3 linked regions of the Arabidopsis thaliana genome follow. The protein of the gene in region 3 interacts with the protein of the main gene of each other region in a pairwise test. Each region holds a gene or a part of one and is shown on either strand. Other genes may lie near its edges.

Region 1 (7,289 bases), on a different chromosome or scaffold from region 3:
GAAATATTTATACATGTAAACGAAACTCTTCACCTTGCATGTCTCTCTTCCCTGGCTTCAAGCGCATCAACTTCCTCACTTGTTAGCAGATCCACAACTGGTTCATAAACATCCAAGTCTTTCCTTTTCCTGTCAAGATCATGGACAAAATTTGTTATTTTTGGATTCTGTTATAGCTTTTGCTTGGTCTTGCAAGTCAAATTTGTTCGTGTCCATAAATCTTATTTTTTGAAAAACTCCCATTTAGTGATAAGCAATGCAGGAAGAGAACTTCTTCAATTTCCACAGAGTTTATTTTGTAATCAAACAATTTCCAACCTAGTGATTCGGTTTTCTATGTTCAATAACAACATGTAACATCACCAGAAATTACTATTAGAACAATCTCAGTAGGGACCAGCTCCAAATATTGGGATAATCTACTATCAAATGATATAATGCATGAAGAGGTGGCATTCAAGAGTATGTGTAAGAAAAACGCTCAGGATGTGTCGCAAAGTTAACTTATCTTATAAACGATCTAGCTGCTAGAAGTCAGTCGTCCAACAGATCTTAAGAAGACAATGCAACAGAGAAAATGTATGCATTAAGTGGGTAAGAAAATCACTTACCGAACTACACTGGACTTAAAACTGAATAACTTCATTAAGTCCATTGACAGGCCACTTGCCTTGCTGCACATATAAGATGGAAAGTTATTTTAGAATTTTTTGAGCTAGGCTCTAATATTACCACAAGGTAACTTGGATAGACAAATAGGGGCAACGTGAACATACCTCGCTGAACCATGATCAGATCCTCTGCGGCCTTTCTTGCTTAATCTACTCTCCCTAGCTGAAGCCACACTTTGAATTGCAATCTGGCAAGCAAAAACAACGACATGGTAACTCAGTAAGTTTGGCATTCTTGTTCAAAATAGAAAACATATATAGAGTATACAGAAATACAGAGAGAGTAGCTTAAAGTTACAATCAAAGTTTTAACCTCGTAAAGTTGTTCCCTTATTGCAAAGGCAACAGCAGGCTTCAGAGAGAAGGAGAAACCAAAAATCACTTGTATCAAACGTTTGAAACTTAGGTTCATTAGTTCAGATAATGAAATGTAAAAAATTGAGTGGTTATCTTACTCCAACTTCAGGGTCTTCAACACCTAAATCCTTGCACAAGGTTCTTGCAAATTCCTCAGGATCACTCTCAAAATTGTTTAGGTCCTGCAAAACGGCAATCAAGCTGCACTGAGAAAAAGAGTACAAACAATAGTTGAAATTGTTCAAAATCACCAAGTATTCTCACCCATAAGAACTGATCCTTGATGAGAGTATGGTTAACTCGGAGATCAAGCTGGCACAAAAAAGAAAGAAAGATAGCTTATCAGCTTCTAGAACTTCTTTTTTTCCAACAAATCACTCATGGACAAAAGAGAGAGGGATAAGGATATCTAGCGTCATAAAACCTTAATTGGTATGATTTTTTCACCAGTGTACATGTCTTGTCCTTCATAAGCCCGAAAGTCTGAGAGCTGAGACTGATAAAGCAGGAAGTTGACCAATGTAAGTAGAGATTTCTGAAGAAATTATTCCAATACTTACAAAAACAGAACAGAACATAACTGAAGCAAGAGTACATTCATCACAAAAGCACAGTCTTACAGATATACATCCCAAAGTACAATGCTATAAACAGGCCTCTTCTCGAGTAAAAAAACCTAAAGAGTTAAAAACAATAAGTCGAAAGTGTGATTGGTTTAAGACTAATAGGTGACCTTAAATTTAAGCTCATCTCTATGACAAGCAAAAGAACTAACAACAAAATCAGAGCAGAAGAAAAACTAAAGATAGGTCAGTGTGAACTAGTTTAGAAACAACCTGAATAGATTGGGCAATCTGAGTGACAAATGCATAGGGAAGTTTCAAGTCTTTAACAGTTCTTTTGGCAAAGATAACGACTTCATTATCCGGGTCTGTATCCAAAACCAAAAACAAGAATCAGTGAATCACATACACTGCTACTGTAATAAGATGCGAGAAGATGGAAAACAAAAAAAAAGGTAGGGTTTTTAAGAGAGAAACCTGAAGGGTTCCAAGTGAAAGCATCTTTGTAACGCTGACCTTCGAATTGAATGTCCAATCGAATAGGTACCAAGTTTTCAGCAGTGGGCCTATAGCTCCGATTACAAATCGATTCATCAGAAAAAACAAAAACACATGAACTCGATTTCGATTTCAAAACAAACAAAGTAGAGGAAGCGACGAAACTTACATCCTGAACTTGACGGGACCTTTCCAACCAGTAGACACTAAACCCTTCATCCTTAAACCCCCAAATTTCACAAATTGAGTTTCGAAGAGAGTCAGCGAGAGAGTGTGGGAAATTTCAATTTCTCGATCTTTTTCCGGCGCTAGCTTAATTTATTTCAGAATCACCCTTATATTCTAATGTCTTTACACATTTCACCTCTAATTTGGAATTTTCCCATTTTGGGACGAATTATCTGGATCCGATCCTACGATCAATTGCAGCATTTGGGCTTTAAACGAGCTTGTTAGTCATTTAGTGGGCTTTAAATGGGCTCAACATTAAAATTGTACATTGGTGACAACCAACGAGACGGCTGCCGGCAGATCAAAGAGAATCATTCTCTTCCTGACAACGTTCCTCTATTCCATGTTCGTGCTCCCCATAACAACGTTCGTGTACTTTTTTCCTAGTCATGTAACACATTCGAAGAAACACACGATTACAAACATATAAAAAATCTTTGCATTATTATTATTCAGAACAAAAAAGAGAAGTCTTGGATATTGTGATTTATTTATAAGAAAAAACACACTCAAAGGTGTCATATAAATAAATATATGCATCAATCAATTCTCCAACTTCTTCAAGGCCTTTGTTGCAATATGCAGCAATAGCTCCGTCCCGCCTCAAGTCTCTTCATCAATGCCTAAATCTTACACGTCTCGTAACTGCGCAATCACAGCCTTGACCGATCCAAGTTTTAATACCTCTCCGGTCTCGTGATCTTTAGTCTTCTCACGGTTTCAAGAAACATACTAAACAAAAACATCGATTTCAAAAATTAGAGAATAGCTATAACCGAGGAAATTATACCAATGTAAGATCAAGATATAAGATTCATACTCCCATGGAATATCTCCGACCATCATCCAATCTCCATCCTTGTCTTCATATGTCAAAACATGATGTTTTCGATCTCGATTACCGCCTGTTATAGCCAAGACAATGCATGGATATACTTCAAACTGTTTGAATTTAGTTGAATGTTGTTTTTACGGAATTATGTGTTGTTCATTAATTACTTACAGATGATTGAAGTATCGAACATGTGAGAGAGATTTTCTAATAGACTCTCGTAGCCTGAGAATACGCAAAGGTCGAGTTTTCTTCCAATGGGAACACCTTCCATATAAACCTTAACAAAGAGAGAAGTGTCATCACCACGACGAAGAAGACGACGACCCTTTAGTGTATCTCTTAATCTAGACTTTATCGGTGGCCAATCTTGTCTTGCTTCTCTACAAAAAAATAAAGATTTAAAACACAAATGTGAACAAAAGAAAACAGAGCAAAAACAGAACATAGGAAAAAACAGAGAAGTGATGTGAATAAGACCTTTGTGGAGAAGTAGAAGGAAATGTGAGACTAAGGGAGAGATTAACAGAAGATTCAGAAGGAGAAGGTTTAGTACTGTCGACAGAGGATGAAGAAAATGAAGAACAAGAGTTAGAGACCTCCATTAATGAGACCTTGAAGCTGCAGAGCTAGCTTCATGCTTCCTTCTCTTCTCTATTGAGAGTGCTCTTCATGTCTCTCTCTCTCTATTTCTATTTCTCTCTGTCTAGTTAAACAAAAAAGGACTAGTAGGTGATTCTATTGCATAGATTTTGAATTTAAAAATTGATTTAATCGACTTTGAAATTTAATATAAATAAATAATAGGAACATAAGGTTCCCCACATTTAACTATGAACTTTCAACCTTCTAAATATGAACACACATTGATTTCTGAAAACCACTGTAATAATTACCCGATTAGATACTTAATTCATGGGTTTAGATCTTTGGAGTTAGTTAGTAGTAAAAATGTGAAATTATGGTTTTGAGATTTGTTTACATGTAAGATTCGAAGTTTCCGTAAAAAGGTGGTATCCAAGGAAAGTGTGTCTAAATGATGTTGGAGTTAATCTGTTAAGGCTTTGATTTTAATTTCTCAACTGCTCAGATTCTTTAATTAGGAGAGATAAGGGCCAAAAAAGGCTTTATTGTCTAGCCGTAAACAGAAACAGAGCATCACATCACTTTCACTTTCTTACACATCAATATTTGAAAGAAAAAAACTGAGTCTATAGACTATGAACTTGGGGGATCAATTTTTTAGACCCTTCTGTTGATAAGAAAACTCAATTGTCTCTTATGACACATTAATGTAACAGACCATTGAAAATTGCAGAACCAATAAAAATAAGGTAGACTTGAAGAGTTTTGTGTATATTGTTTTTGTGGAGCAGACAGTGTTCTTTTCTTTAACTATACGTTTCCTGTTAATGTCTCTTTAGCTTTGTGGATTGTCTCTCTTAGAAGCCCAAATCTTTTACTCTTTTTTGAAAATCAAAATAGAATTCGTTGATTTATGATAACTTCAAAATATAAAGTAGACATAAATTGTTACATCACATAATGCTCATTGGCTGTATTGATAATAATATTAGATTCTAGAATCATCATGGGAAGTGCACTCTAATAGTTACTTTGTAATAAAGCCTACCTTGGATGTTGGATCGATAAGACTCCTATTAGCTATTATACGATCTGTCTTTGGACATGCATGTCTGGTCTCTAGGGATCCTTCTTGTTAGAATTTCGATATATATAACTTTATAATGTCTAGTAGTCTAATGATGAATGTTTACTCCTCTTTATACTTATAATAATAATTAAGACTACTATAAGTCTATAATCAATTAAACTTTTATCAAAAAAATATGTCCAAGGAGTTATTACTCGCATACCTCGACTTAAAAGAGTTTTGTCATTAGTTTTCGTTGAAGTAAGTAAGAACCAAAGATAATAATCAAACTCCTGATTTTCTGAAGTTTCTTAAAATGGTATTCAAATTTTGGCCATAACTCTCAATATATTAAGACCGAGCATGCGAACGAGAAAAAATATGATCACCATGGTTTGCAGCTCGATTACTTCTAAGTTCTAACCATGGTAAATTTAAACGTTTTGTTGAAGTAATATAGAGAGGCATGCAATAGTATTGTGCCAAAAAGTTATAGCAAGAGAGATCAATATCATGATATGTACTCCTAAATTAACGTGGCATGTTCATGCATAGACAAAGATGCAATCATATCTCCACGTTTGCATACAGCTTCAAATAATAAAATCATATAGTCATACAAACAAAATGAATGTCCGCTGCTTATGAAAATTAATTATTTGGATAGTACTTCGTATAAAAGTTACATCAAATGATTTTAGTTGATTTTAAGACAAGGGGTCCCTTGAGTGATACACAAACTCATCATGAGTATTCTGATCCATTTCATGACGAATAAATTAAAACACAATCAGAAGGTTGATCATGGGTTGGGAAAGATGTATTGGTCGGTCGATATGCCACATGTTATATTATGTTTTATACTTATTCCTGAATAGAAAGATATGTATGAGTCGAAATATACAAAAGAAGGATGAAACTTGTTCTTCTTTATAACCTTATAAAATGTTCACATTGTTTATGAGTGATTTCCCGCGTCCATTCCATACGACTTCATGATTAACATCCCTCAATATATTGATTATGACAATGTTCGAAAAAACTGTTAGATGCCAGGCAGACGACGATTCAACCGGCCAAGTTTTGTTTCCGCGCGCGCGCATAAGTCCACTATCTAATATGCAACCATTACGGTAGAAGTTTACTTGGTCCATTTTCATTGATAACAACAAAAAATCGTAAAACTTTAAAATTATGATGAAAAACGTAAAAAAGAACATGGGAAAATATATGGCGGAATCACAAAGCATGAAAAAATGCTTCGGAATGATTGACTGAATTTACAATTGGTAGAATTTAATTTTAAGAGATAACATTTAAAAATTCAAAACATTAGTTAGCTGTCTTTATACAAAAGAGTTATTTGTGTACCAAAAAATAGAAAACGAGATATATGACCACATGATGAGTTTATGCATGCCTATTACGCCATGCAAATAGATACACACACACATAGTTGTGCCTCTGACTTTGTCTGCAAGTACGTTTGTATGGTTCTAGACAGTAATTATTGTCCTAAACCCACACGCTCTGTGAATACTCACTAAAGGTTGTTTTCCGTAGAAATCATGAACAAAGACTTTAAAAGCAAAACAGAACAATAAATCAATTAATAAGTTCAACGGGATATAGTGGAAAAGAAAACACAGATACACACCATTGGATTGAAACAGTTGCATTTGTGGTCTTACATAAACCTACGTGTTCTTTTATAAGCCAACCAATACTTTTCTCTTTTTTTTTGTTTGAAACGAGTTGCAGACTTTGAGTGGCCCCAAAGAAGAAAGAAAAGATGCAATTTCCTTTGGTTTGATATTCTCTTCAACCTCTTACCTCTCTATTCTCGTCTTTAGCAAAATCTCAAAAGACAAAAAGATATTGATGTCTCTCCAACGACCCAATGGGAACTCGAGTTCGTCTTCTTCCCACAAGAAGCACAAAACTGGTAGGTGTTGAAAGAAACTTATCTAATATTTAACTTAATTTGGTTTAGAGAAATTGGTTTGTATAATTCTCAGAGGAAAGTGATGAGGAGTTGTTGATGGTTCCTGACATGGAAGCAGCTGGATCAACATGTGTTCTAAGCAGCAGCGCCGACGATGGAGTCAACAATCCGGAGCTTGACCAGACTCAAAATGGAGTCTCTACAGCTAAACGCCGCCGTGGAAGAAACCCTGTTGATAAAGAATATAGAAGCCTCAAGAGGTAATCAATGATGAGTAAAAAAACTTTTTTTTCTTAGCATTCGATTTGTGGAATTGAAATGGTAAAAAAGAAACTGTGGTGAAAAATTACAGATTATTGAGGAACAGAGTATCAGCGCAACAAGCAAGAGAGAGGAAGAAAGTGTATGTGAGTGATTTGGAATCAAGAGCTAATGAGTTACAGAACAACAATGACCAGCTCGAAGAGAAGATTTCTACTTTGACGAACGAGAACACAATGCTTCGTAAAATGCTTATTAACACAAGGCCTAAAACTGA
Region 2 (7,842 bases), on a different chromosome or scaffold from region 3:
ACACAAACAAACAAAAAAAATTGGCGTTTGGAATGTAATCCAACTCTCCACAATATATGCATGCTTTGTGTTTTAACCGATCAAGTATACTAATTTTTTTTTAATTATAGTATAATTTGTTACTACGAAGCCACCAACGTTCTTACATTCTCAAGACATTGATAAGTTATAACCTGCGGTCCTAAATCACCCACCAAAGGGGAGAGATGAATTGATAAATTAAGACGAGATGTGTTGAATGTTGATAGAGCTAGCTGCCTATCTCTCCATACATGCCTTCTAAGGCTTCCTCACAAACCATAAGTAATTTGGTCGTTTTGACGCTAGATGTTTGTTTGTTGTCCCATATATCAAAGTCAGGTGCTCACATTTTTATTTGTTGTATCTCAATATGAAAATGATTGTATAGAAAATGAAGAAACGAAGGCTAAGTGTGCCTTTTTTATTATTTAAATAGTTTGTATATGACTTCAAAATATATCCAAACACAGATACTTTGGAATTTATAATGACAGTTGACATCTAAAAAAACCTGTAAATTGGAAGGTTTAAGCATATGTCTAATTATTATTTATCCTTTTCGTTTTTTATATTGTACATTCATTTTTTACCACTCTCAAATATGAACTTTGTATTTAGTTCTAATAAAATTATGAAGTTTTAAATACTCAACCGACTGGACTGGTACAACCAACCATCCAATAATGATGTCGAATCCGATATTTTGTCCCCATTTACAACACACTTGCATGGTTACGTGTGATATTATAATATGTATAAACGGTCTATAATTTTTCCTATACCGAGTTACAAATAAGAATCTCCATGAATAGATATCTGCTCTGTGGCTGATAACCAAAAATGGCAAAGAGAGGGGAAAGCTTGAGAGACAAACCTAAATGGAGTCTTGAAGGCATGACTGCTCTTGTTACCGGTGGATCTAAAGGCCTCGGGTCAGTCCCAATTTTTCTACCTTAATTACTTACTTCCCTATAATTTCAGTACCGAAACTGAGCTCTGATTTCAATCATGTATAGACTTTCGTTTTATTTGTTAATACGGCTCAATCATAGACTTATGTGGATCTTTTGATAGTATTTCTATGTTTAATCAAATCAACCCCTGAAAAGATCAAAGGCTTAATGATATGTATAAATTCATATTGATGTATAAATAGAAAAGCTGTGGTGGAGGAACTAGCCATGTTGGGAGCAAGAGTTCACACATGTGCCAGAGACGAAACTCAGCTTCAAGAAAGCTTACGTGAATGGCAAGCAAAAGGGTTACAAGTCACCACTTCTGTTTGCGATGTTTCTTCTCGTGACCAGCGAGAGAAACTCATGGAAACTGTTTCCTCTCTCTTCCAAGGAAAACTCAGCATCCTCGTAAGTGTGTGTGTGTATATATATAAGCTTCTCCTCCTCCTCGTCTATGAGCTTGGATCGACAATGACCAAAATCATGTTGAATTTTGTTTGCTTCGTTTGTATAGGTACCCAATGTGGGAATAGGTGTACTAAAGCCGACGACTGAGTGTACAGCAGAAGAGTTCTCATTTATAATAGCTACAAATCTGGAGTCAACTTTCCATTTCTCGCAACTCGCGCATCCTTTATTGAAAGCCTCTGGTTCAGGGAACATTGTGCTCATGTCTTCCGTGGCTGGAGTTGTAAATTTGGGTAATACATCAATCTATGGAGCAACCAAAGGTATAATTATACGCATACTCGAACAATTTATGATTCTTTGCTTCTATCGCGACTTAAATAAATGTATACGCATTCTAGGAGCCATGAATCAGCTGGCGAGAAATTTAGCATGCGAGTGGGCGAGTGATAATATAAGGGCTAATTCTGTTTGTCCATGGTTCATTACAACTCCGTCAACTAAAGATGTAAGACAATGAATAAGAAAATACATTTCATTTATAGTATGAAAAAATGGTTTAACTATTTCTTACGAAGTTTATGTGAAAATGTTTCAGTTCCTCGGTGATAAAGATGTAAAAGAAAAGGTGGAGAGTGTGACACCATTGAGACGTGTTGGAGAGGCAAATGAAGTATCATCGCTTGTTGCATTTCTATGTCTTCCCGCAGCTTCTTATATAACAGGTCAAACCATTTGCGTTGATGGAGGTTTCACTATTAACGGCTTCTCTTTGCCTTAAACACGTATATATGCATATATTCATGCTTAAATTTATGTGATTAATTAGTGGTTTCACTGCATATTAATTCATACAAGTTTTATATGTAACTTATGTTGAGGGAGCTCACTCCGTTCATGCCTTCTAATGTTTGGACGAAGAACTCAATCTTTTATCTTATCGGATAAGAAGTTACTTGTGTTCACATTTGATGTTTGTTCGTTTCCAATCGTATTGTGACTTTTGATATATAAAATAATTATTGTATATATTCTACTTATGATATATGATTATATAGTCATGTAATGATGACCGTACGATTTTCAACTCTAGTATCCCTATCTTTAGGGGGTTATGGCTAAAAGCCTAAAAAGATTACTTTTGCTAAAGGAGTAAAGATTATGTTCATAATTTTTTTTAATTTATATAAATTTATTATTATTATTCTCACGCATAACACAAAACAAAGAAAGAATTATCTTCATAATTATATATATATATATATATATATTTGATATAAATTTATTATTATTATTATTCTCACGCATAGCACAAAACAAGTTTCTTCTATATATCAACTAAACTAAAAGACATGTCGTTGGAAACATACTCATATATCATATTCAAGGACTCATAATAATAGACATGTAAACAAAATATTCCTTAAATTTTCTAAATTCAAAAACAAACTATATATGTAACTTGTTATTTAATCTTCTTGGGTATATAAAACTTTATCGCATTTCTTGGATATTTGGACGATGAGAATTCAAATTGCTTTGTCGATGATAAATTTGTTTAATAATTGTTCAGACTGCCATCACAACATAGCTGATTACTGTCATATAAGTCATACATATTATATTTCCGATGATTCTCTGGACTCTCAAGACAATAATAATAAAAATTCAGATATAAGTTTATTAAGGTTTTCTTTGTTAACGTGTTTACTGTCTAGGGACAAACATAAATTATTAGCACTAAACTTGTTAGGTTTTGAAAGTAAACACTGATTTATACCTAAACTTAGGTTATTCATGTAATCAAATGTGAAAACTAACGTAATGAAATTCCTCTAGTTATTTAAATACAGAAAACAAAACCTACCTTGCGGGGAAAAGCATCGTGGCGCGAAAGGAAACTTCCTATGATCCGTCATCCGTGCCGTCTCAATTTGATTGGACCACGAATCTCGCACTCGATACTGACGCCTTACGTGGATTACTTTTTTTATAGAAAGAATTTAAAATTGTTTCTGAAGAGGCAGGTTTTGTGTATAAAATAGAGAATGCAAGTAACGTGTAATGACATTATTTCTCAAATTGAATGGTTTTCGAGCATTTTTATTAACCAGTGAAGCAACCAAAACAGGAATCACCAGTTCTTGAAAGAGTTCATCAAAAAAGAAAACATTTCTTGAAACATCTAAGAAAGAGTTTTGTTCTTCTTGATCAGAAATACAGAGCAAAATCCATTTGAAGACATCAAAGTTTAAGGTTTTTTTCCCCGGATATGGCCGAGATATGTTACGAAGTAGTGACCGACGCATGTCCGTCGTCGGTTTATGAATCAACGCCGGCACATTCACGGCGGAGGCCGAGATTCCAAACGGTGATGCATGAAGATTGGGAGAAGAATTGTAAGCGTAGTAAACAGGAGGCTTTAGCTACGAGATACTCTTCAATTCCTCGAAGCTCTCGGGAGGATTTCTCTGACCAAAATGTCGACGTATCCAGTCCAAGATACGGTGTTTCTTCGGTGTGCGGTAGAAGAAGAGAGATGGAAGATGCGGTGGCAATTCATCCTTCATTTTCTTCTCCGAAGAATTCGGAATTTCCTCAACACTACTTTGGTGTGTATGACGGCCATGGTTGTTCCCACGTACGACTCCGTTACCATGCATTCTTACGTTTTCCGAAATTCTATGTTTTCAGTTTTAGCTGATACGAAATCTTTTTTTTTTCCTTAGGTTGCAGCAAGGTGTAGAGAGAGGCTTCACAAGCTGGTGCAAGAAGAACTAAGTTCAGATATGGAAGATGAAGAAGAATGGAAAACGACGATGGAGCGTAGCTTCACACGCATGGATAAGGAAGTTGTATCGTGGGGTGATTCCGTCGTGACTGCAAATTGCAAGTGTGATCTACAAACACCGGCTTGTGATTCCGTCGGATCAACCGCTGTTGTCTCAGTCATTACGCCAGATAAGATCGTTGTCGCCAATTGTGGCGATTCCAGAGCAGTTCTCTGCCGCAATGGGAAACCAGTCCCTTTATCAACCGATCACAAGGTCAGTTCCGTTCAAAACATGTTCAGTTTCATTTAAGCAATGATTGGATTTGTGGATTAACTTGGAGATTGTGTTCTTTGTAATGAAACACAGCCTGATCGGCCAGACGAATTGGATCGAATCGAAGGAGCTGGTGGACGAGTCATATATTGGGACTGTCCAAGAGTTCTCGGAGTCTTAGCAATGTCACGAGCAATAGGAGACAACTATTTGAAACCTTACGTGAGTTGCGAGCCGGAGGTAACCATAACGGACAGGAGAGACGATGACTGCCTCATACTAGCTAGTGATGGTTTATGGGATGTTGTGTCAAACGAGACCGCCTGCTCTGTAGCGCGTATGTGTCTCCGTGGTGGTGGGAGAAGACAAGATAATGAGGATCCGGCGATTTCGGACAAGGCTTGTACGGAAGCGTCAGTATTGCTAACAAAGCTGGCGTTGGCAAGGAACAGTAGTGACAACGTCAGTGTCGTTGTGATTGATCTCAGAAGATAAGGACACGTAAGTGGACACTAGTCGAAGAGGAAGACAATTTTGCTTTAACTTTCTATATCAGTTTTGCTTTTTGGTTATTCTTGGAATACGTTGGTTGTATACAAAATTAACCCGATTTTATGGAAACCCCGAAAAAGGGTTAATTAATAGAAATGATAAGAATTATTCTTGTCAACCCTAATCCTGTTTCGTGTATGCTTATAATCTTAAATCAAATCAAATTAAGAAGGTCGACATGTAAAAGCATTTTGCTTTAAAAAAGATTGTCAGACTATACTATACCTTTTACTTTTAGGCATTAAGATACTTTAAGAGGTACTTAGTCTCTGCCGCTAGGCAAAGACATGAGAGTAGATCATAGGTTCTAAATGCAATTATGAGTATTAGCAGTATCTAAAGAATAAGAAAAACAGTAAGCAGTAGTAACAACAAGTCCAATAGAAACGAGGTCACGTATAAATTTCAACATCGAATCGACTTCAGACTAGCAGCTTTGATTGTACAACCCAAATTGTAGCAAATAATGATGTTCTTATGACTAAAGTTGAGGAAATGGTAGAGACAAAACAAAAGAAAGAAGGTTTTTTGAGAACAAGACCTCTCTCGGGAATCGAATTTCACGTTTGTTTGTTGTCAGGTTTCTTTTAGGGCCTTAAGTTTTCTGTAACCTTTATCGGTGCCAAAGATCCTGAAGTAACATAGATAAACATATTTACATGTTTATTATAGTTATGACTTCTGTTAAAGTAAGAAACAGAGTTCAATAATTTACCAGTCCATGTAAACAAACGTTGATGAGTAGTTGCCAGACTTTGTGTAGAGTAATCGATGATGGTAGTCATGGAAGTCAGCACTGTAAGCAAATGATTCCCACATTAATATTAAAGATCTGTTAGGTTTAAGGTGTTGCTCTTTCAAGGCAATCACAGGTTAGAAGTCTTATCTTACCCGCCGTATAGAGGAAGAAAATTCGAGGGGCTCCATGGGAAATGATAACCACAATGTGCCTCAACTGTCTCAATAACTCTGAGCATCATCCATAACCAAAGGGTGATCAGGTGAGGCCCGGTGAGAGCCGGACCAACAATGGTAGCAAAACCAAGGAACAGAATTTCAGCGGGATGAGCATATTCTGATGTCAAACCAAACGGTGTCGCGTACCTGTATATAAGTAATACCATAAGATTGTTTATTGAGGACCATGAGTGAACTAACATTGTCAAGCACAAAAAAGATGGTGAGTACTGATAGCTTACTCATGATGCACACTGTGCACGTTCTTGTAGAGCCATTTAGTATGCAAGATCCTGTGACCCCAATAGAATACAAAATCCTCAATGATGAAGTAGAATAAGATCTGGGCAGACACCACTTTCCTGCAAGAGCGTCACCAGATATAGTTTCATAAACCAGATCAAACATAATGCAGGTTCTTCTCATGCAGCTCAACACTGACATTTTATATATATTGCCCATTGGAAGAGTTTAACATCAGAACCCAAAGGCAAAAAAAGCTTTCAGCACTAAAGAACCTGATAATACCAGGACGGCAGAGGAAAACTGCTTTCCATGCCCATGAATCTGAATACAGGATACGACGCCATCATGAGGGGCAAGTTTACGCAGCAATGGTAAAGTAATAGTCGAGCAATGCATTTTCCCTGGGCTTCAGGAGTATTACTTTTGGTCTGCAAAAGACCAAACAAGAGTACTTGATAAATCTAGAAGACAAGCTAAACCAGTTATCACTTTGACATTACCATTGGGGAAATGAGAACACTGACAACTTGGTGATATCTTTCCATTCAGTTTATATTTGAACAGACACACAAAGCTATTAGTTAGAAGACCACTGAATCATGAGAAGAAAAGACAAACCTGAATTTTGTAGTTGCTCAGAAAACCAGTCCTTTCTAGGAAAATGTAAGGGAGTCCAGACAAGAAAAACACGCTTTCATGAAGTATAAAACTCCCAATACACGCCAGTTGAAAGTCACTGAAATGCGTAACAAGGTACTGCATCATCGCCACAAAGAAGGGTCAGTGTCACAGCTAGAACTGTCAAACTAAAGAGCTAAACATGATTGCCAAAGGGAGATAAAATTTGTTCAATTCCACGAAAACTGAAGGCAATTGTATATCATTGACACCATCCATCCAGTCACTCACGCAGAAAAGCAAGTTAAGAAGACGTTCAAGGAAAACCTATTGCTTATCAACACGTATCACAATCACAGATCCTCTAAGCTAGTCCAAGCTCCAACAACAATACATAAATCCCACTCAAATTCCAAAAAAAAATACAAGCACAAACAGAGATCACATACGAAATCAGTAATAATCTGTAACTAGAACAGTCAAATCCAGATCTGAAACCACAACGCAATCGACACGAAACCAATTCAATCTCAACATAAAGGGACCACAACAATACAATACGATGGACCACAGACGACAAACACAAAATCAACCTAACACGGCAGATACTAATCCCGTACCTACACTTGTATCATAAATGCAGTACACTCAAGTCGCCAGAGACCGAGAAACAAAAAACACGATTCAATCTCTGAAAACAAAACAAAAAAAAAAAACGTAGGAATCGCATACAAAGGAACGCGACGAGATAGAGGAATACGAAGTACCTTCCAACCGGATTCAACGAGAGAATCCATGGATACCAACAGAAGTAGAAAACACGATGGATCTCCGCGGCGGAGATAGGCAGAGAGTGTGAGAGAAAGAGAAAGAGAAACGAAAACTGTGTGACAAGAAGGAATCTGAATTCTAAAGCTGATTTGTTTGTTTCTCTCCATCACACGTGCACACACATGTTTCATTATTATCCTTAATTACTTGATATTTTTAATTTTAGGACCATATAGTTTTACATGTGACAATTGGCACCCCATGTT
Region 3 (7,958 bases):
AAGCTGGAGTACCCTTCTTCTATAGAGCTGGATCTGAATTTGAAGAGATGTGAGCCTTCTTCTAGCTATCTTTCTCTGGCATTTGCCTTAGGCAACATTATCATTATCTATTTAGTAATTATTTCAATCAGGTGGCTTCTTCAATAATGGATAATGTCTTCTAATATCATGTTTTTTTCCCTTCGATTTACAGGTTTGTTGGGGTAGGAGCTCGCCGTGTGAGATCCTTGTTTCAGGCAGCCAAGAAGAAGGTATGACTCAACTTGTCACTGCTTATCAGCTATTTTAAAAGAGTTTGGTTGATTAGGCTACCATGAATGAACTTTTATATTTAATGACGATCATGTGTTACAGGCACCTTGTATTATTTTCATTGACGAAATTGATGCTGTTGGATCCACAAGAAAACAATGGGAAGGGCATACAAAGAAGACATTGCATCAACTACTTGTTGAAATGGATGGTTTTGAGCAGAATGAGGTACTTGTTGATTAGGAGTAGTGTATCTTGTGATTACTTCCGCTAGTTTGCAGGAATATAATAGTACTTTGCTTTCTATTTTGGTTATGCAGGGAATAATAGTTATGGCTGCAACAAACTTGCCTGATATACTTGATCCAGCTCTGACAAGACCGGGTAGATTTGATAGACATGTAAGTTTTCATTTTCTTGTTATTCTTCTGAGACGTATTAGTATTGCAGATAAGAGTTACTGGAATACGAAGAACTGATACCTTTTTCTTGTCTTGAGAAACCCCCTGTTTTGAGGATTTGTTTTTGACTTTGTCACTTTGCGCATCTGGTGTTCAATGTTTTTTCATCTGTATCTTTTTGAACAGTATTTAGATAGGTGCACTGCTATGTTACGAACAATTTTTCAGATTTTTCGAAAGGAAAATGAATTACTGACAGATTTGATTTTAGATTGTCGTACCCAGTCCGGATGTCCGTGGACGCGAAGAGATTTTGGAACTCTACCTCCAAGGCAAACCTATGTCAGAAGATGTTGATGTTAAAGCAATTGCTCGTGGAACTCCTGGATTCAATGGTGCTGGTGAGTTTCTTAAATCTATAACTACAGTTTAGTCACCCTGAAATTCAGAAGTGTCTTCTTTTGTCACTAACCTATGAAGATTCAATGACTCACCACATTTTTCCCAATCTCACCAAACTTTTTTCCAGATCTTGCAAACCTGGTAAATATTGCTGCCATAAAAGCAGCTGTTGAAGGTGCTGAGAAGTTATCTTCTGAACAGTTGGAATTCGCAAAGGACCGAATTGTCATGGGCACAGAGAGGAAGACAATGTTCGTATCAGAGGACTCAAAAAAGGTATATTCCAATATCTTAACAACATAGAAGTGTTTGGATGTGGAGTTCAAACATGATATGACCTGTCACTTACTTCTTTGCCTCTTTAGCTCACTGCATACCATGAGAGTGGTCATGCTATTGTCGCTTTAAATACGAAAGGTGCGCACCCGATCCACAAAGCGACTATAATGCCACGTGGATCTGCATTGGGAATGGTTACACAGTTACCTTCAAACGATGAAACATCAGTGAGCAAGAGGCAGTTATTAGCTCGTCTCGATGTATGTATGGGAGGAAGAGTTGCAGAGGAGCTCATCTTTGGCTTGGACCATATTACCACTGGAGCGAGTAGCGATCTGTCACAGGCCACTGAACTTGCACAATACATGGTAACCTCATGTACATGTGCTTAATTGCTTCTTTTTTTCTGGTTTATCAAAAGAGTTAGCCTTTGGTTCTTTTAGTTTTCTGGAATGAGGTTTGAGGGACTTAGTCTCTGAGATCCTTAAGGTGAACTTACAAGTTAATGCGAGAAGATGGATCTTACCTCTTGTTGTAGTTGTAGTAATGCTTTTCTTTTTAATGGAAGGTATCGAGTTGTGGGATGAGTGAGGCAATAGGACCAGTTCATATAAAAGAAAGACCAAGCTCTGATATGCAATCACGCATTGATGCCGAGGTAGAGACTCTCTATTCACTTTTTTTAGTTCCCTCATTCAAATCCCATTGGTCCTAAATCTAATCATTCATCTGGTGGTGTTGATACATGTATAGGTTGTGAAGCTTCTTAGAGAAGCATATGAGAGAGTGAAATCTCTCTTGAAACGGGTTTGTGCCAAGTTTACAGATAGTCGCATTTTTTACTGGATCAAAATTGTTTAATCTCACTTCGATTTTGTGTGTGTGTGTGTGTGTGTGTGTGTGTGTGTTTCCCCAGCATGAGAAGCAGCTACACACGTTAGCAAACGCACTTCTAGAGTATGAAACGCTAACCGCAGAGGACATAAAGCGTATTCTCCTTCCAAAGCAGGAAGGCGAGAAATTTGAAGAGCAACAACAAGAAGAAGGAGACTTGGTATTGGCCTAATCACATCATTCATTACCATAAACACACTTCTTTGGGTGAAAAAGGGAGATTCAAAGCTTTGTACAGAGTAAATCTCCCATAGCTTCTACAACAACAACCAAAAGAAAAACATATGAAATTATTGATCTCATGTTACAAAATTATTGTAGTTTTTATTTCATTAGCTCATTAGTTTTCGCTTCGACCTTGAACCTTTTGCCCTTTTTGACATTCTGTTCAATTCTATGAAGAAAAATGTAAAACAACATTGAAAAGAAAGTAATAATTGTTGTCTTTATTCTCTGATGTGATTTTGAAAGCCAATGAATCTTATTGCAGCTTACAAGGTCCTCTGATGAAATTACATGTATTGTTTGGAACAAAATTGAAAGAAAACATATAGAAGCAATTCTAATGATACCACCTGTCAATGTGACCGATTCGAATATTTATCCACTACTGTAATTTAGGAAAAAAGAAACAGAAACACTTTGGCATTGTAAAAATAGTATACAAAACTTTTTACAGCTAATGGAGCTAAAGTGTGTTTCCCCAATCACAAGTCAAGACAAAATCTATAAACAACAACAAAGATCTCTTTCCTTAATGGTCCTTTGTGGAGATTTTTCACATCTCACAAACCCTATTGGTTCATCTTTAAAAGTAGAAAAAATAAATATAAGAAAGACGGTGTGTGGCCTTTATGGGTGCAACTAAAAGTGTTAAAAAAGGAAGAAGAGAGTGGAACCCCATGATCACACACACTTTTAACATGTCTTCTCTGCAAATTGTAAAAAGATTCCTGCAAGTTGCTAAAGCTAAACTCCAAAATCATATTTTGGTTCTATAGAGAAGAAACCAAAAACACATTCATTAAATTAGACACATGAAATTAAAAAGAGGGTTTGAAAGTGAAATGACCCCAAAAATAGCAAATGAGAAACTTATTATGTAACTGGATAAATGATGATACTTTTTTTGCCTTGTCCATCCTCAAAGAAACTCACCCACTCTCTCTTTTTCCCTTTGAGAGCTTCATCCATGGCAACCAAAATCTCTCTGATTCAATAGTTTCTTACTCCTTTGATCTTTAGACTCTCGATTCTGTCGTGTCTTGAACCGCAAGACGTTCAGAGATATCAGCTAAAGATTTAAGATTGCATTTGATTAAAGCTTCAACAAAGTAACAAGTCTCATCCTTTGTGTTTCCTTCTGGTACATCAACCACAAATGACTCAATCACAAGTGTTCCTATTCTTCCTTCTATAGTCTCGGGGTGAAGAGAGATGATTGAAGAATAGTTCTAAATCCAAAAACAATATAGAACATATAAGTCTTTGATTCACTGTAAACAGAAAACGAACCTTTTGATTCATTGATTACCTTAAGTCTATGATCACCACCAACGATTCTGATACTGAGAATATGCTCATTGTCATCAAGTAACTCCAATCTCTCAGTGCTTCTAGTTGCTGGTAGTCCAGATTTCACATCAACTTCTCTTACTGTACCAATCTCCATGTTTCCTTTCACCACACATCTACTGATAAACGGCTTATACTTCTGTGGCTGATCAAATCTTCTCACAAGTGACCACACCTATTCACCAGAGAGATTCAAACTAATCCATAAGCGTTTTTGGGAGCTTTTTTTTCCAATAAAGCAAAACCAGATCAAACAAACTCAGATTGGGATTACACAAATGCTATGTAAGCTTTCAATAATTAGAAACCAATCGATTCTTCATCAGTAAGATCAACAATCGATGAAAATAGAGAGAGATTTCAAATTCTGGATTGAATCAACAATAAGAAGAACCGATTAACTTAAACAGAGAAAATCAGAGCGCATGAAGGAAGAAGAAGAAGGGAGAAGCTTACAATATGAACAGGAGCGTTGATATGTTTAACAAGCGTAGAGCTACACTGATTATCCACAAGCTCATGCTTATGATGTCTCCTTATAAACTCTCTTTCCTGATTCGGATTCGTCAAGTTCTCAATCCCGTTAGCTTCCATCTTCTTCCTCCGTCTTAAGCCACGGTTTCTCAATACCTCCGCGTCGGATACGACAAACAAACAAAAAACAAGGCCAAATTCGTCGCGCAGAAGAGAGTGAAAAGCAGCACAACAAAGGAAAAGATAAGATTGAGCTGAGAATCGTAAGAGATCTGATCTCAGAGAGAAGTTTTTTTCCGGCGAGATCTTCCGATGAAAGCGTTACTGTGAAGAAATGATAGATTATACAGTCGCCGTCTTTGGAGGGAGATAAGAAGAAGATGAGAGAAAGAGAAAGAGAGAGAGAGAGAGACGAATCCTCCAACAAACTTTTTTTCTCTCTCCTTTTTATAATATTTAAATAAAAAGACTCAGTGAGAGATTTTTATAAAAAAAAAGAAAAAGATTGATTGGATGGTATTGGACTAAAGGAGTAAAGGTCTTTCTCTGATTTCACTACTCTCATTGGATGCTTTCTTCTATTATCCCACTATTTTCTCTTTATTTTCGATTTTGCCCCTCGTTGTCGTTTTTCTGTGTTTTATTTACCGTTTTTAGTTTTACCCCTCAAGTGTGGTAATTATTTAATGTTGATCCTTAAAGTATTGTTTAAGCCTATGAGAGCTGACTCAATTATTGGATAGTTTTTTTTTTTTTTTTCTTGGGTGCTTTTTCATTTGGATAAAAGACTTGTTTTGACAAAAAAAAAAAAGGATTAAAGATTTTGAAATGGTTATAGATTTTTTGAAATTGTTTATGGCTTAAGTTTTTTCCAAAAATCTACTTTATAGCCAATTAAGATTGGGAGAAATGGTTTTCCTTATAAAAATAAGGAATCTAGATTTTTAAAGGAAATCTAAAATCTATGTTTCATTGGTTTTTCACTTTTTAACGCTATAACTTTTTCATATTTAGTTTCAAATATATATATATATATATATATATATATATATATATATATATATATATATAATTAATGCAAAAATCTAAAAACTATAAACCAAATCCAAAAACCACTTAATAACTTGCAAACTGTTTTCTTTTGTTAATGTGTACTTATATTTTAGGTTTTCTTGTTATTGGGATTATAGTATTAGTGGTGTACTGTAAAATGTTTGTGTATGTGTGTGTATATAGTAGAATGAATTCGATCAGATCAGCATATAGTTCGTGTACTTGACTGTGATCAGACTCAAAGAACAATTCAAATTGTCGAAAATATACTAATTTAAATTGATGAAAATACTACAAAATTTCAGAGAGATTGTTATAATGCAAACCAAACATAGGGCTTAACCAGATTATGCTCGTTAACCTTTAGCTGAAGAAGAGATAGTACACATATTATACGGATGGTCACATTACTAGGTGCATGGAGGTATATTGATGTCCCAATTAGACATATAATCACTAGTTAAAAGTGTGCTTAACACCCCCGAGCCAGACCATGATCAATGCAGATTCGGGGCCTTTGAAGCAAACTACAAAGGACCAAATCTTTTTTTAGGATTAGAACGACAAATCAGGTACTAAGTACAAATTACAAGAACTTCTTTAGGTATATGATAAAAATAGTAAACATCTATTATTCCAAGTATTAAAAATAGCTAAAATTTAATGATTATACATGCACTGCAGTTATTATGGTTATCATCCAAATTTTATTCTAACCATTTAACATCGATTGTTTCGTACGTTTTGTCAGTTCCATACCAATGATTTGTATTATGTTCTCTTTGTTTCGTCTAATCCGGTTTTCTGCATCATCACCAATTCCAGTATTCACTCTCATTCGACTCATAATATGAAGTAAAAGTTCGTAAACTATTAAGTTGGACTTCGCTTTATTTTTTCGCATTCTGACAATAGTATCTTGTTTTGATCATTTACAGTATAATATTAGTATCTTATAACCACTAAGGCCAGAATAGTAAGTATATAGTTTGATCATTTAATTTACACAATCCTTTATCCAAAAAATATATTGTATACAGTATCATATATAGGGTTTGCTTCACAGTCTTAACTTTTCCTGACTCGAAGAGCCAATCTCGAGAGAGCAAAAGGTCCCACGTGCTTTATCCAACACTCTTTATTAAATCCTGAATAAAAGTATCTCAAAGTGACAAAGATTTCTATAACATAAAAAGGTTTGGCTCTTATAAGTCATATCTAGAAAAAGAAAATTCGTTGCTAACTTTGTAACGTGCTAAAGTATTCTCGAAAATACTACTACCTCAAGATTAAAGTACACAAAAAAAAAAAATTGGATACCCATAGTTTCTTTTTAAGATTGGGCTTGGAGCTTGCAGGTGGGCTCTCAGGAATGTATATCGGAGATTTTGAGTGTGGTCAAGGAAGGTGTTGAGTTTGCCTTCCATTTGCAACCCGACTCTCAGTGCCTGACATCATTGGCATGTAAGACTGATGACTCTCTGAGCAAATAGGAAGCTCTCTGCTAATAAATAACTTTATGTATATGCTCTTGTTTGCTTGCTGGTTGCATATATAAAGTTATATAAATCCATCATTTCAAGTTTAGACATTACCACCATGAAATATCTATACTTAGATATTATCCTTTCAATCAACATAGACCATACTTCATTCATTAGCATAAACAAAACAACCAAAACACTTGTTTGATTTCTATCACTCAAGAGCCTTAATATCTTACATTAAGGACAAAGAAGTGAGTATCTCATAAATAGTAAGTCGATTGATTGGATGTAAAAGGACAATCACCTTTGTAAAGTGGGAATGTTTAGATTCACTTCATGTGTCGATATTAGTATAAATAGTATGACAACGACGATTATATATATAGAAATAGTATTATCCAATTAAATATATTAAAGAAGATGAGAAAAAGAGAGAGAGAAGTGGACCTACAAACAAAAGGTGTGGAAGAGATGAGAATAGAAAGAAAAAAATTAAACTCATAATAAAGAGACAAGTGAGGATCATGTGTTGCATCTATCTTTTGTTTTTGACCATTTCAGCTATAGAAACGTGAACACCATTAATGGCTTATGAATCAAAATCTCACACTTCTTCTTTATTCAGATACATGAGAAAAAGATGATGTGAGTCAAAAATTTCTCACTACTAGTCTACAATTTCTAAAAGTTCGCTGTTAAAGTCCTTTTTACGAAAACAGAGAACGTTGTAGCTTTGAAACAGAGATCTCAGTTGCATATAGGAGGCACAAATTTATCTTGAAATATCAAAGTTGGCCTCTTACTCAAACACAATGGCATGCCGACAAAAGTTTGATGCCTAAGTAAATGATAAGAAGACGCTGACAAGAAACAAACTTAACCAGATTGAGAGATATCAGTTGCATATATGAGGCACAAATTCTAAAACAAGGACCAAGTCGGTGCATGCTTAAATGGGCTGGTCTCAAAATGGACCGGTTTGGCCAATCACAAATTCACAACCACCAAATTCACTAAACATGACAATGAACTTCAAAATGAATGCTTCAAAGATAAAAAAAGTAACAAATAACCATAACCACCATATATATATTCGAATCCCAAACTGAGTTCTTACAAGATTCTTTCTGGTCTATTGAGT

What was found. Proteins that work in one complex are often made in the same cells at the same time.
Region 1: the proteins of RCAR3 (region 3) and IAA31 interact in binary tests that used the Arabidopsis thaliana proteins (3 or more experiments, as listed by UniProt).
Region 2: the proteins of RCAR3 (region 3) and HAI3 interact in binary tests that used the Arabidopsis thaliana proteins (3 or more experiments, as listed by UniProt).

The regions. Positions count from the first base shown.
Region 1 is NC_003074.8:6,017,284-6,024,572, forward strand, and holds IAA31 (indole-3-acetic acid inducible 31), read right to left. Parts: upstream 3,865-7,289; 5' UTR 3,758-3,864; coding exon 3,633-3,757; intron 3,536-3,632; coding exon 3,324-3,535; intron 3,226-3,323; coding exon 3,141-3,225; intron 3,053-3,140; coding exon 2,998-3,052; 3' UTR 2,690-2,997; downstream 1-2,689. Other genes in the region: BSH (transcription regulatory protein SNF5, putative (BSH)), read right to left, coding at 30-129, 612-674, 777-859, 985-1,023, 1,127-1,210, 1,293-1,340, 1,453-1,524, 1,865-1,959 and 2 more; HYH (HY5-homolog), read left to right, coding at 6,688-6,751, 6,825-7,011, 7,104-7,289. UniProt on the Arabidopsis thaliana protein: Aux/IAA proteins are short-lived transcriptional factors that function as repressors of early auxin response genes at low auxin concentrations.
Region 2 is NC_003071.7:12,605,198-12,613,039, forward strand, and holds HAI3 (highly ABA-induced PP2C protein 3), read left to right. Parts: upstream 1-3,477; 5' UTR 3,478-3,657; coding exon 3,658-4,026; intron 4,027-4,114; coding exon 4,115-4,432; intron 4,433-4,525; coding exon 4,526-4,927; 3' UTR 4,928-5,153; downstream 5,154-7,842. Other genes in the region: AT2G29370 (NAD(P)-binding Rossmann-fold superfamily protein), read left to right, coding at 862-953, 1,178-1,385, 1,492-1,708, 1,787-1,893, 1,984-2,166; SMO2-2 (sterol 4-alpha-methyl-oxidase 2-2), read right to left, coding at 5,561-5,615, 5,700-5,816, 5,876-6,088, 6,184-6,303, 6,470-6,615, 6,806-6,943, 7,573-7,602.
Region 3 is NC_003076.8:21,557,465-21,565,422, reverse strand, and holds RCAR3 (regulatory components of ABA receptor 3), read right to left. Parts: upstream 4,823-7,958; 5' UTR 4,398-4,822; coding exon 4,260-4,397; intron 3,979-4,259; coding exon 3,763-3,978; coding exon of another isoform or gene 3,683-3,762; coding exon 3,470-3,682; 3' UTR 2,714-3,469; downstream 1-2,713. Other genes in the region: FTSH11 (FTSH protease 11), read left to right, coding at 1-49, 194-251, 355-480, 573-653, 925-1,054, 1,183-1,331, 1,421-1,702, 1,903-1,992 and 2 more. UniProt on the Arabidopsis thaliana protein: Receptor for abscisic acid (ABA) required for ABA-mediated responses such as stomatal closure and germination inhibition.